3 linked regions of the Macaca fascicularis genome follow. The protein of the gene in region 1 interacts with the protein of each later gene in a pairwise test. Links are inferred from orthologs where the notes say so. Each region holds a gene or a part of one and is shown in the gene's direction. Other genes may lie near its edges.

The links.
Region 2: the proteins of FATE1 (region 1) and CCDC70 interact in binary tests that used the Homo sapiens proteins (3 or more experiments, as listed by UniProt). The two-hybrid records come from large-scale screens. The link is inferred for Macaca fascicularis from reciprocal best matches to the Homo sapiens genes FATE1 and CCDC70.
Region 3: the proteins of FATE1 (region 1) and BIK interact in binary tests that used the Homo sapiens proteins (3 or more experiments, as listed by UniProt). The two-hybrid records come from large-scale screens. The link is inferred for Macaca fascicularis from reciprocal best matches to the Homo sapiens genes FATE1 and BIK.

What each region holds. Positions count from the first base shown.
Region 1 is NC_088395.1:157,778,723-157,782,951, forward strand, and holds the start of FATE1 (fetal and adult testis-expressed transcript protein), read left to right. Parts: upstream 1-1,429; 5' UTR 1,430-2,399; coding exon 2,400-2,505; intron 2,506-3,547; coding exon 3,548-3,675; intron 3,676-4,229. UniProt on the Homo sapiens protein: Involved in the regulation of endoplasmic reticulum (ER)-mitochondria coupling. Negatively regulates the ER-mitochondria distance and Ca(2+) transfer from ER to mitochondria possibly implicating it in the regulation of apoptosis.
Region 2 is NC_088391.1:31,027,932-31,032,107, forward strand, and holds the start of CCDC70 (coiled-coil domain-containing protein 70), read left to right. Parts: upstream 1-1,366; 5' UTR 1,367-1,625; intron 1,626-4,176.
Region 3 is NC_088384.1:8,473,698-8,477,802, reverse strand, and holds the start of BIK (bcl-2-interacting killer), read left to right. Parts: upstream 1-1,295; 5' UTR 1,296-1,349; intron 1,350-4,105.

The sequences.
Region 1 (4,229 bases):
CACATTAAACTCTCTGTCACCTCCAAGTTGTCTTTGGCACTCAATCCAAGCGGGGAAGGCACGCTAAGGGGGTGAGATGTTGGGGTTTCTGAGTGGCCTTGGGGGTTCAGGGGTTGGGAAGGAATTCTCCCACCCTCTTTGCTTGGCTTTAGGTGGTGGATTCTTATGCCACCAGGGGGCAGTGCCTCCACATGCACCTGGACCCTGTGCTCCTGTGCCCAAGAAGCCCCACCAGGGTCAGTTGATAACTAGACAGAAATCTGGCCTCCATAGCCTGAGGCCCTGTGGCAAGCCAGTGCCTACACTACTGTAGCTTTGCTGACTTCTGAGTGCTCCTCACAATCCAGCCACCCTGTAGGGAGGCTTGTCCATGGTGGAGACTGACACCAAAAGAAGGGAGAAACTTGCTCGAGGTAAAATCTTGAGGTCATAGTGAGATAAGATTGTCAGATAGAATACAGGATATGCAGCTAAATTTCAATGTTAGATCAACCCATGAATCCTTTTTTTAGTGTAAATATGTCCCAAAGGTTAGTGTACAAGAGAGAATACTTACACTACAAATGTAGTATAAGTACAGATGTGTTGTTTATCTGAAATTTAAATGTACTTCGTATCTGTATTTTCATTTGCTCAATCTGGCAACCTTGGCTGGGCTTCCCAGGCTCCTGAATCCCACTAAGCTGAGCACACTCAGTAGTTTCTCTGCTCCCAAGGTGGCCCTCCAGAAAGCTCAAATTTCATCGCAGCTGCTCCACTAGATCTGGGAAGGGCTTCTTTGGGGCCCCCAGGAATGCAGGCAGGGCCTATATCAGCTCTGCTTCCCAAGAGCTCGGCCCCAGCGCTGGACAGGTGAGGTGGGGGCAGGGGACAGGCAGCCTCAGACCATGCTGCCCTATCTCAGCTAGTTCTGACCCCTTCCTTTGCACTCCCTCTCCTTCCTTCCTTCCTTCCTTCCTTCCTTCCTTCCTTCCTTCCTTCCTTCCTTCCTTCCTTCCTTCCTCTTTTCCTCCTTCCTTCTTTCCTTCCTTCCTTCCTCCCTTCCTCTTTTCCTTCCTTCCTTCCTTCCTTCCTTCCTTCCTTCCTTCCTTCCTTCCTTCCTTCCTCCCTTCCTCTTTTCCTCCTTCCTTCCTCCTCTTTATCCCACCTGACCCAAGGGCTCTGGGGGAAGAAGAGGCTATTTCTAAAAGGAACGTTTTATAAACCTGTCCTGATTCCTTTCACAAATAGCCTCCTATTCCCCCAGGGGCTCTGGGGTTGTTTCCTAGAATGAAGGGTTCACCACAGGTCGTGTAGCAATCAGTGTTTTCCAGAGAAACATAACTGATAGGATGTATATATGTATGTATGTATATATGTATATATCTGCATATGCACAAGTATATATACATTTATTTTAATAAATTGACTTATGCAATTGTGGGGCTGACAAGTCTGAAATGTGCAGGGCAGCCTGGCAGGCTGGCAACTCAAAGAAGAGTTGACACTGCAGTCCTGGGGTAGAATTACCTCTACTTTGGGAAACCTCAGTCTTTGCTCTTCAGGCCTCTCAGTTGATTGTGTGAGACCAACCCACATCATCGAGGATGTGTCTCTACTTTACTTCAAGTCCACTGGTTGTAGATGCCAACCACAGCTACAAAATGCCTCCACAGCAACACCTAGACTAGTGTTTGAAGGAGTCACTGGGGACTAGAACCTGGCCAGGTGACACATAAACCTGACCATCACAGTGGTCTAATCAGTAGGGAAACTGAGGGAGAATTGGGACTTAGAAGGTGCAAGGCCTGAGGCCCCTGGGAGTTCTAGTGGCTGCAGTCAGGTCCCACCTCTCTTACCCTTCTCTCCCTTTGTTCTCATGGCTCCTGCCTAGTCTGACCTACTTCAGAAAAAGGCTACCTCCCATGTCTGGGGACTCTGGATGGGGGAGGTAGGATATGCTCTCCAGAGAATCTCTTCTGAAGGTGTGGTATGGCCTGGATTGCTAGGACCTAACTCTGCTGTAGCCACTGCCTGGCTCTTGGACCCTGTGCCAATCCCTGTTTCTTCATAGAAATGATGGAGGGTAGACCCTACCCTTCCCCCCATGGGCTAAATATGGAGATTCATGAGCCAGAGCAGTTCTCACAGTCAAAGGCATGGAATTGTATCTCTTCTCCTAAGTTGCTTACAGAGTAGCAAGGAGAAGGCCACGGACCTAGCCAACAAGATACAATAGAAACAGAAAGTGCTGAGTCCAAGGCCTCAGCCTAGAGAGGGAGTCTTGCTCCACCCCCAGGTCTGACTATATCTTCCTTGAGCTCCTGTTCCAGGAAGAGGTGATTTTCTGAGTGTGACTCCTCTGTTCCTGGCACCCTGTACATCCTTAGCCATAGCTTACAAGTGAACAGCTGGTTGTGATGGCAGGAGGCCCTCCCAACACCAAGGCAGAGATGGAAATGTCCCTGACAGAAGAATTGAATCATGGACGCCAAGGGCAAAACCAAGAGCACCTGGTGATAGCGGGTGAGGATCCCCTAAAATACCCCTAGGCTACAGCCAACTGTGTAGATACATGTCTGTACCTGTGCATGTGTGTGTTGGGAAAGGTGCATGTGTGCATGGAAGTGTTTGCACATCTGTGTGTTGGGCGGGCTTTGAGGATTTGTGGGTTGATGGTAAGGGATCTAGGAGAAAAGGGATAGATGATGTGAGCATTTTGCCCTGGGAGGGAGGAGGATGGGAACAACATGTGTGGTCCCTCTGTCTTCCCCTTGTCCAAGCCACCACAGTGTCTGTTGCAAAATACTCAGAGGGCTCAAATTATGAGACCAGAGATCAATTCTCTCTCCCAACCCTCGAATTCATTTTCCTGCCATTTGGAGGAAAATCCAGACTCCATGATCTATAAGATTGTATCAGCCTCCTCAAAACATTTCATACTATGATATAGACAGAAAATACCATTTCTATAGCACACAAAGGGATCCAGATCACATTGCATTTATGTTTGTTCTTACAATGCTCCAAGCCTGCTTCTTCCCCAAAGACCTTGCATTTGCTGTTTCCTCTGTCTGGAATGCTCTTTCCCTCAATTTCCCAGGGCTGGGTCCTTTATTTTTTTCAGGTCCCTGCCTCAATTGTTGTCTCCTACTTTTCTAGAAGGAGCCCTTTCCTTCCACTATGTTACCCTGTTTTGATCATTTATGGAGCCTGCATCTCTCTGTCTGCATTTGCAAGGATAGACCTTCTGTTTTACACCTGTCATTCACTCTTATACACAAAACAGATGGTCAGTTCCTTGATAGCTGGAATCTTGTTCTTGGTCATTGCTCTCTAGATTACTGGAGAGTAACCTAGTCTCGAGCTGAGCCCTCAGGATTCTTGTTTAACTTTTGAACAGATGAACAAACTGAGACCTGGGATCAGCTGGTGGACAGTGGTTAATGGGTGCTGAGTGATTCCCAAGAAAGCTGGGGACTCTGTCTTCTTTTTGGTGTGTTTTGTGCCCAAGAAGCCCTGGTACAACTTCTATGGGTGCTCCTGGGGTCTCTGTTCTTCTCTCTAGAAATGATGGAGCATGGATCTCGGTCCCTGGGTGCCTCCCAGAAGAGGCAGAAGTTGGAACAAAAAGCTGCTGGCTCTGCTTCAGCGAAACGAGTTTGGAATATGACTGCCACCCGATCCAAGAAAATGGTACTGCATGGGGTCCTCAGCACATGTTGGCCAGGTTGGGGTTGGGAGTACTGGTTGTAGGGGCTGTAGCCTGACCAGGTCAGGCAGGGCTAGACATTGACTTGTGAGGAGGAGGAAGCTCCTGTATTCCAAGCTGGCAAATGAGGACAGAAAGGTCAGGGTCATCCTTTCCTATGCTTGGGATGCAACCTTGGGAGTTCAGAATGCCTGAAACAAATATTGCATGGGGAGTACATAAATATTTCACTCTGTAAATCCATTGTGTGAAATAACGCTTCCTGTATTTAAAATTGTGTGTGTGGTGCGTGTGTGTGTATACACACAATAACTCAGGTGAGGCTCCTACGCTTTCTGGCTGTTAAGAAATCCAGTCAAGTCGTCTGGCATGGTGGCTCATGCCTGTAATCTGAGCACTCTGGCAGGAAGAGGTGGACGGATCACTTGAGGCCAGGAGTTGGAGAACAGTCTGGCCAGCATGGTGAAACCTTGTCTCTACTAAAAATACAAAAATTAGCTGGGCATGGTGGCACATGCCTGTAATCACAGCTACTCAG
Region 2 (4,176 bases), on another chromosome or scaffold:
AATTTCTGGAGAAATTCTGGATGGACTAGGGGTCCACTGATGGATGAATAGATAAAGAAATTGTAGCATGTATATAAAGTAGAATATTATTCAGTCATAAAAAAAGAATCCTGCCATTTGTGACAAGATAGATGAACCTGGAGAACATTATGCTAAGTGAAATAAGCCAGACACAGAAAGAAAAATGCTGCACAATTTCACTTATATGTAGAATCTTAAAAAAAAAAAAAAAAAAAAAAAAGAGGCCAGGTGTGGCGGCTCACGCCTGTAATCCCAGCACTTTGGGAGGCCGAGGCGGGCGGATCACGAGGTCAGGAGATCGAGACCATCCTGGCTAACATGGTGAAACCCCATCTCTACTAAAAATACAAAAAAATGCCAGGTGTGGTGGCGGGCGCCTGTAGTCCCAGCTACTCGGGAGGCTGAGGCAGGAGAAGGGCGTGAACCCAGGAGGCAGAGCTTGCAGTGAGCCGAGATCGCGCCACTGCACTCCAGCCTGGGCAACAGAGCGAGACTCCGTCTCAAAAAAAAAAAAAGAAGAAGAAGAAGAAAAAGAGAGAAAAAAGTCAAATACATAGACAAAGAATAAAATGGTGGTTGCTCGGTGTGGGGAGGAGACAGGAAGAAGGAGATCAAAGGGTACAAAGTTGCAGATATATAGGATAAATAATTTAGAGATCTAAGGTACAACATGGGGACTATAGTTAATAACATTGTATTCAGGATTTTTGCTAAGAGTAGATTTTGGGTGCTCTTGCTACAGTGCACAAAAAAGGGTAACTATATGAGATATGGATATGTTAATTTATTTGACTATTTAAAAATTTTACTACGTGACAAAAATTCTGGAGTTGAAAATGAAAAATTAAAGAGGAGTTCAACAGCATATTTGAACTGACAGAAGAAAAAATCCACAAGCTTGTAAACAGGTTAACTGAGATTATCTAATCTAAGCAACAGAAAGAAAAAAGAATGAAGAAAAATGAATATAACTTTAGAGACCTGGGGGACACCCTCACGCTACCAGTATTCACATAATATGAGCCCTAGAAGGAGAGGAGACAGAGAAAATGGAAGAAAGAATATTTGAAGAAATAGTGGCCAAAAACTTCTGAAATTTGATGAAAAACTATCAAATCTGCATATCCAAGAAGCTCAACAATCTCCAAGTAGAATAAACCTCAAGACCAAGACACATCCTAGTCAAACTATCAAAAGCCAAAGACAAAGAATCTGGAAAGCAGCAAGAGAAGTGATTCATCCCACACACAGCCCTCCCCAGACCATGACTTCCTAGAACCATGCTCCTGGAACCAATGCCGACAGAATCTGAGGTAACAATCACTTGTGAGTCATCAACAGCACTGCCCTATCAGGGAAGTCAAAGACGGAAAAGGAACTCTTTCAGACCTTTCAAGTGCCCCCTCCTTTCCTTAAAGTCTTTTATAGGGGACTCCTTCTTAGAGTCTCCATCCTGTGAGTCAGGTCTGAAAGGGCACAGACAGGTCACAGTCAGCATTGTTGGGGCAGGCCTGCAAGCAGCGTCATCGGGGATCTCACATGACAATGGCCGCCTGTACCCTCTGAGGGCTACAGGATCTACCCCGTTGGCAAGCAGCTAAGCAGTAAGTAACTGTTGGCTTTAGATTGTATAGTATTTGTTCTAAGCATAAGGTCATATATAATATTTTCCTTAAAAAGAAGTTCCTAGTCTTACAGTATAACTGAAAACTAGGCATGTTTATTTAATGTGCATTTTTATAGCTATACAGATACACATCTACAGTTTTATGTTGTACTTTATATCTTAACACACATCTACATATTTGATATGGTTCTTGTTTTCTTTCTTTCTTAAAGAAAGTTCAGTGTTCACTTGAGAAAAACTTGGAGGTGAATTTTTTCCAACATCCTAACCCAGTAGACGCCCATTCATCCAGCTGCTATTTTCTGAACACCTATCCTGTGGCAGGACGTTTCACGGGATGCCAGACATAGAGATGGAAGATGAGGTGTTTCTAGTGGGACAGAAAGGGCACATGCTCAGTCTGAGCTTAGGAGAGACTGCCTGGAGGAGGTATCTGAGTGCTGAAGGATTCGCTAGGTGAACTGAAGTGAGCTTGGGCAAGGCTATCCAGGGAGAGGGGACCAGCAAGACATGGAAGTGAGGGAGGACCTTGCATATTGGACAGATTCCAGGCAAAGAGCCATACAACATAGAAAATCAAATTTCCAAAATGCAGTTAAATTCAGTTCAATTCAACCAACATTTTCACCAGTTCCCTCCTATATAGACGGCTTTATATTATAATAGCTCCTGGGTTACAGAGATGTCAGGAAGACATGTCTACACCTAATTTCAATCAAGTCTGACAAGTAACAGTGGAGTAACAGACAGATAGCATCGTGGAGGTGGCGAGGAACTTTGTCTGGAGGGTCCGAGTGGCTTTCAGAGGGGAAGGGATGAACAGGAATTCAAGCCCACCATAGGAGGAAAAGGGGCTCTCAGTAGAGGATGTGGCATGTGCTTCAGCATCCAGGCAGGAAACTGGAGGCAGGGTGCCAAGAGCTGAATAGAGCTCATTCATACTGGGCCTTAGATTTGGAGTTGGGTACAGGCTGGGTAGGAAGGACAGGGAGAAGCAAGCTGGAGTTGGGCTGCACAGGGCCTTCCTAGGGCATTCAGCTTTGATCGTTGGGCTACAAGGTCTTTGAAGGTGTGTGAACTGATGTGATAGGACGAGAAAGTGTTTTAGAAAACACCTGTAGGGCTACAGTGCAGGGGCAGATAAGAGGGTAAGATCAATACAGAGAGCAGCGAGGCTATTTCAGGCATCCTGGCCTGACCCGGCTGTGGTTGGGGAGATGGAACAGGGGCATGGTTTCAAGAAATGTTAAAGATCTCAGCTAGGCGGGCTTGATGGTTGAGGAGAGAAGTCTGGTGAGGGAGAGGGAAAGGTCAAGGATGTGCCCCTGGTTCTGGTTTGTGTGACTTGACGGATGGTGATGCCACCAGCTGTCCACAGCCTAGCCACTGTCTCTTCATATGGTTGCGCGCGTGCACACACACACACCCCCAGTTGTGTCTTTTCTCCTCCTCCACTCCCTGATCCTAAACCAGAAATGGAAAAACACAGAGAAAGCCCCGAAAATTTCCCCAAAAGGTCTCATGGATGATGGATCAGTGAGGTCCACTGAGTGAGGGCCAGACCCTGGCAACTTCCTCGAGAAAGCACAAAATGGAAAACAACGCTCTCAGCATATGCATGCACCACTTATCTGACAACACAGCTCTTTACTGCCCCCTAACCACCTTCCTATGTCCACTGCTTTTTCTCATCCCTTGATTCATGTTTGTAGTTACAGGGATTGTTACGGATAGTTCTGCTATCTGATTCCTCAGATATATGGCAATGTTTGAAGATCTTTCTCCTTCCCTCCCTCCCTCTCTGTCTTTCTTTTTCTTTTCTTTTTTTCTTTTCCTTCTTTCTTCTCCCCAGCTTTTATTTTATTGTGATATATACTGTATTGACTGGGGTACATAAAATATCCATGTACCGCTTAACACGTTTTTATAACAACACACATGAAACCACCACCAAGCAAAGAAACAGAATGCTGCTAGCACTGCAGAAGCCCCTCTCAAGTACTCACTTAATCACAATCCTTAGTCTCACCTCCTCATCCCACACCCCAAATCCTCCCACACCAGCAACTATTACTCTGACTTTGGGACTCACTTCCTTGCTTTTCTTTCTGTGTTAACACTGAAGTATGTTCCCCTAGACCATGGCATTTAGTCCTGCTTGTTTGGAACTTCATTCTTTGAAATTCCCTGATCCTGCTTCTCTCTTTCAGCAGAGTGTTTATAAGATTCACTCATGCTGTTGTAGGCAGCCATGCTGTCTGCCATGTGGATATAGCGCCATTTTTTATTCCACTCTATTGGGATGGTCACTGGATTGTTTCCAGAGTTGAGCTCTTATGAGCAAAGCTCCTCGAACACACTTGTACATGTATCCTAGTCACAGTTCCTAAGTTTCCTCAGGGTTTATATCTGGGACTGGAGTTGCTGGGTCATCTGGTGTCTTTCTTATTGTTCCATATTACTCAATATTGCGTGAGGGTCTTCTTGTTCCATGATCCTGGCAACATTCACCATTGTCTCTCACCTTT
Region 3 (4,105 bases), on another chromosome or scaffold:
AGTGAGCCGAGATTGTGCTACTGCACTCCAGCCTGGGCAACAGGGTGATATTCCATCTCAAAAAACAAACCAACCAACAACAACAACAACAACAACAACAAACTACAAAAGCAAAGAAGGTCCAAGGCCCAGAAGGAGGGAGGGGCTCTGAAGACTTTATCAGGCTTTACCTCCTCTGGTCCTCCCAAAAGCCCAGCTCTTGGTAGGTGCTGTTGTCCATTTCACAGATGAGAACACTGAGGGGGAAGTAATTACCCTACAGGTGGGAAGAACAGAGTGAGGGTACCCAACAGGTAGCAAACGACAGAGCTGGGGGAGGGGAGCCCCTGCCCCTCCCCTGCCCCTCCCCTGCCCCTCCCCTGCCCCTCCCCTAATCTCTGAGGGGATCAAGACAGAGGTAAACAAGCTTTGCTGTGCGCAGGACAATTGTTACTTTGTTATTCCAAGAGCGCTCTGCCTTCTCCCACCCCCAATATACCCCAGTGCCGCTGTTAGGCACTACTCATCCCCGCGGGGCAGGCTGCCACCAGCCCACCCCGCCTGGAACCTTCCTGATTTCTCTGTCCCTCGCGGGGGCTTTGGGGTCCTTCTCACCAGGTCTGCACGTGGGCCCCCTGCCCCCAATCCCTCCCGTTCCGACCTGCCTCTCGCGCACCCGGAGCCCCGACGAGAGGGGGAAGGCAGGGGGTGGGTGCTGCAGCTGGAAGGCTGCGGACGGGCGGCAGTGGAGGGCCAGTCCCCCTGGCTTCGGGTATGGAGCACTGGATGCTGCTGCTACCCAAGTGTGAACCTCGGTTTTCATATTCGTGAAATAGGCTTAAAAACACCTAAGTCCCGAAGCTGCCAGCCTAAGGAGCACGTTTTTGAACGCTGGCTTCACGCTGTCATTTAGCAAGTCATTTCGTCCTCTTGGAGCCTCGGTGGGTAAAATGATCGTGAAAAAAAGCACCGAGGAGTACTTTGAGCTCGAAGGGAGGCCATCTGTGTAAAGGGCTTGGATTATACACCCAGATTCTGTCAATGGATCGATCTCGACTGCACGCCCGTGCTGGGCGCAGGGGAAACAGCGACGCACGGGACAAAACAAGCTTGCAGAACCGCAGGGGGCAGAGAGGCTGTAAACAAGCCAACCGGCTGCACTTGTAGCGGTTCTGTTGCCAATGCCATTCAGACCCCAGTCCGGGATTCCGCGCTCGGGGTGCGAGAGGCCGCTCCCGGGGCGGGGCGGGACCCGGGCGGGGCGGGAGGGGCGGGGCGCCCGGACCTATTAGGTCCCGCGCCGGCAGCCGGGCAGTAGACACGAAGCTTCTCCGGTGGCTCACAGACGCTGCCAGCATCGCCGCCGCCAGGTGAGTGCCCCTGACCCTGCTGCCGCCCGCCGCTCCACCCAGCTCGAGCCCGGCGGTTAGCGCCCAGGCCGCGGCCCGGGTGCCGAGCGGCTGGAAGTGTGGGGACCCGTGCCCAGGTTTTTCCGCCTCAGCAAGTCGCTGGCGAGTCCCTTGTGGGGCGACGTCTCGGGACTCCGGCTCCGAAACATCCCCTTTCTGCCCAGGGCTCCAGGTCCCCGACGGCCGATCGTGCCAGGCGCGGCCCCTGCGGGCCTCAGTCTCCGCGCCTGTGCAATGGGGTGGTTCCTCTGCGTCTCACCGCTATGGCCGGACGCTCCATCGCCCTCGCACCATCCTCGAGGGCGGCTTCCGGGCACCGGACTCCGACCTCTGGGGTCGTGCGGACCCGGCCAGAGCGCAGCGCGGCACCGCCAGCCCACGGCCGCTGCCGCACAGCCCCGGTGCCCTTAAAAGAGGGAAGATGGCGTCGTGCCCGGTGCTGCTGGGACCGGCTCCCAGAGGCGCTGTGCACCTAAGGGCCGAGGAAATGCTTCGTAACGGGACGCCCAGAAAGTCCGGAACAGGAACGTGCACCCGGAGCGGCGCGCAGCCGCCCGCCCACACCTGCCCATGCGCCCTGCACAGGTGCGCCCCGGACTGGTCGCGGGGACTAGAGCCCGGCTGGGGCGTGCGACCTTGTTAGGTAAATTGGGGGTGCGCCCCTGCGGGTGACCCGAGAGGGGTCCCCCCGCCTGCGGGGCGCGGTCACGACAAGGCTTGTGGGGTTCGGAGCTGGTCGTCGTCTGGGCTCTGGCCTCCTAAATGCGATCGCTTTCAAGCCCCTTCATTGTCAGTTTTGCCAGAATGAGCCACTTGTGGGGTAGGACGTGGTTGTTGATGTTGTTGTTGCTCTTACTACTGTAACATTTTTGTTGCTGTTTTAACGCAGTGTTTACTGTGGCCTGGGAGCCCGAGCTTCCCAGGGAGGTTGGTGTCTGCCTCATGTCCCCACATTAGGAGGAGCAGAGTCTGGTGGGCACTAGCGCCGGGAAGTTATTAACATCTGTCCGTCCTTGGGAGCAGGAGGCCTCGTTTTCCAGGTGGAGAAACAAGAGATTTCAGTCACAGGAGGCACAGAAATGCCAGGGTTGTCTAGCTGGAAGCCAAGGACCCTTTATGGAACCCAAGCCAAAACCTCTTTACACTCTCCAGCCCTGTGGCCTCCGAAGGGCTATTCCATCTCTCTGAACCTCAGTTCCTTCTGTTCATTCTGCAAAATGTATTTCTGAGGTTTCTGCCCAGATGAAGAAAGCCCGACTCAAGTTAGTAGCCTCCGTGTAGTTAAGACTTACCCTGATTTCTACTTAATTTGGGCATGTCTTTGGAATAAGTTCTCAGAAATGGCACAGTCTGGGTGTTTTTTTGTTTTGTTTTGTTTTGTTTTTTGAAACAAGAGCTTTGCTTTTGTTGCCCAGGCTGGAGTGCAGGGGCGTGATCTCGGCTCACTGCAACCTCCACTTCCTGGGTTCAAGCCATTCTCCTGCCTTAGCCTCCCTAGTAGCTGGGATTACAGGCGCCCACCACGACACCCAGCTAATTTTTTGTATTTTTAGTAGAGACGGGATTTCACCATGTTGGCCAAGGTAGTCTCGAACTCCTCCTGACCTCAGGCGATCCACCCACCTCAGCCTCCCAAAGTGCTGGGATTACAGATGTGGCCCCATGCCCGGCCCTTTTATTATTATTACTATTATTATTATTATTATCATTATTGTCTTAAGGATATTAAGACTAAAATTCTCACACATTTGACACGTGCCTGTAATCCTAGCACTTTGGGAGGCTGAGGCAGGAGGATTGCTTGAGCTCAGTAGATTGAGACCAGACTGGGTAACATGGTGAAACACTGTCTCTACCAAAAAAAGCAAAAAATTAACTGGGCATGGTGGCATGTGCCTCTGTTCCTAGCTACCCAGGAGGCTGAGTTCAGAGGACTACCTGAGCTTGGAGGGGTTAAGGCTGCAGTGAGCCCTGATCACACCACTGCACTCTAGCCGGGGAGACAGAGTGAGACCCTGTCTCAAAAAAAGGAGCATTAGGCTGGGCATGGTGGCTGACATCTGTAATCCTAGCACTTTGGGAGGCCGAGGGAGATGGATCACCTGAGGTCAGGAGTTGTGCAACTAGCCTGGCCAACATGGCAAAATCAGTCTGTTTTAAAAATGCAAAAATTAGCCAGGCGTGTTGGAGTATGCCTGTAATCCCAGCTACTTGGGAGACTGAGGCAGGAGAACTGCTTGACCCTGGGAGGCGGAGGTTGCACTGAGCTGAGATCATACCACTGCACTCCAGCCTGGGCCACAGAGTGAGACTCTCTGTCAAAGGAAAAAAAAAGCATCAAATGGTAGATCCCCAGTGTCTGTTACAGCTCAGGTACTCTATGGCTAGATAGAGGGGCTGCATACATATTAGTTATTGTAAGTTTTTTTTTATTTGAGACGGAGTTTCACTCTTGTTGCCCAGGCTGGAGTGCAATGGCTGGGAATACATGCGTGAGCCACCTCGCCTGGCTCAAGTTTCTTACACATTTGACTTGCCTGTAATCACAGCACTTTGGGAGGCCAAGGCGGGAGGATTGCTTGAACCCAGGAGGTGGAGATTGCAGTGAGCAGAGATGGCACCACTCACTGCACTCAGCCTGGGCTAACATGAGACTCCATCTCAGAAAAAAAAAAAAAAAATGATATCTTATGCCACAGAGCTGCAAAGAAACCAGA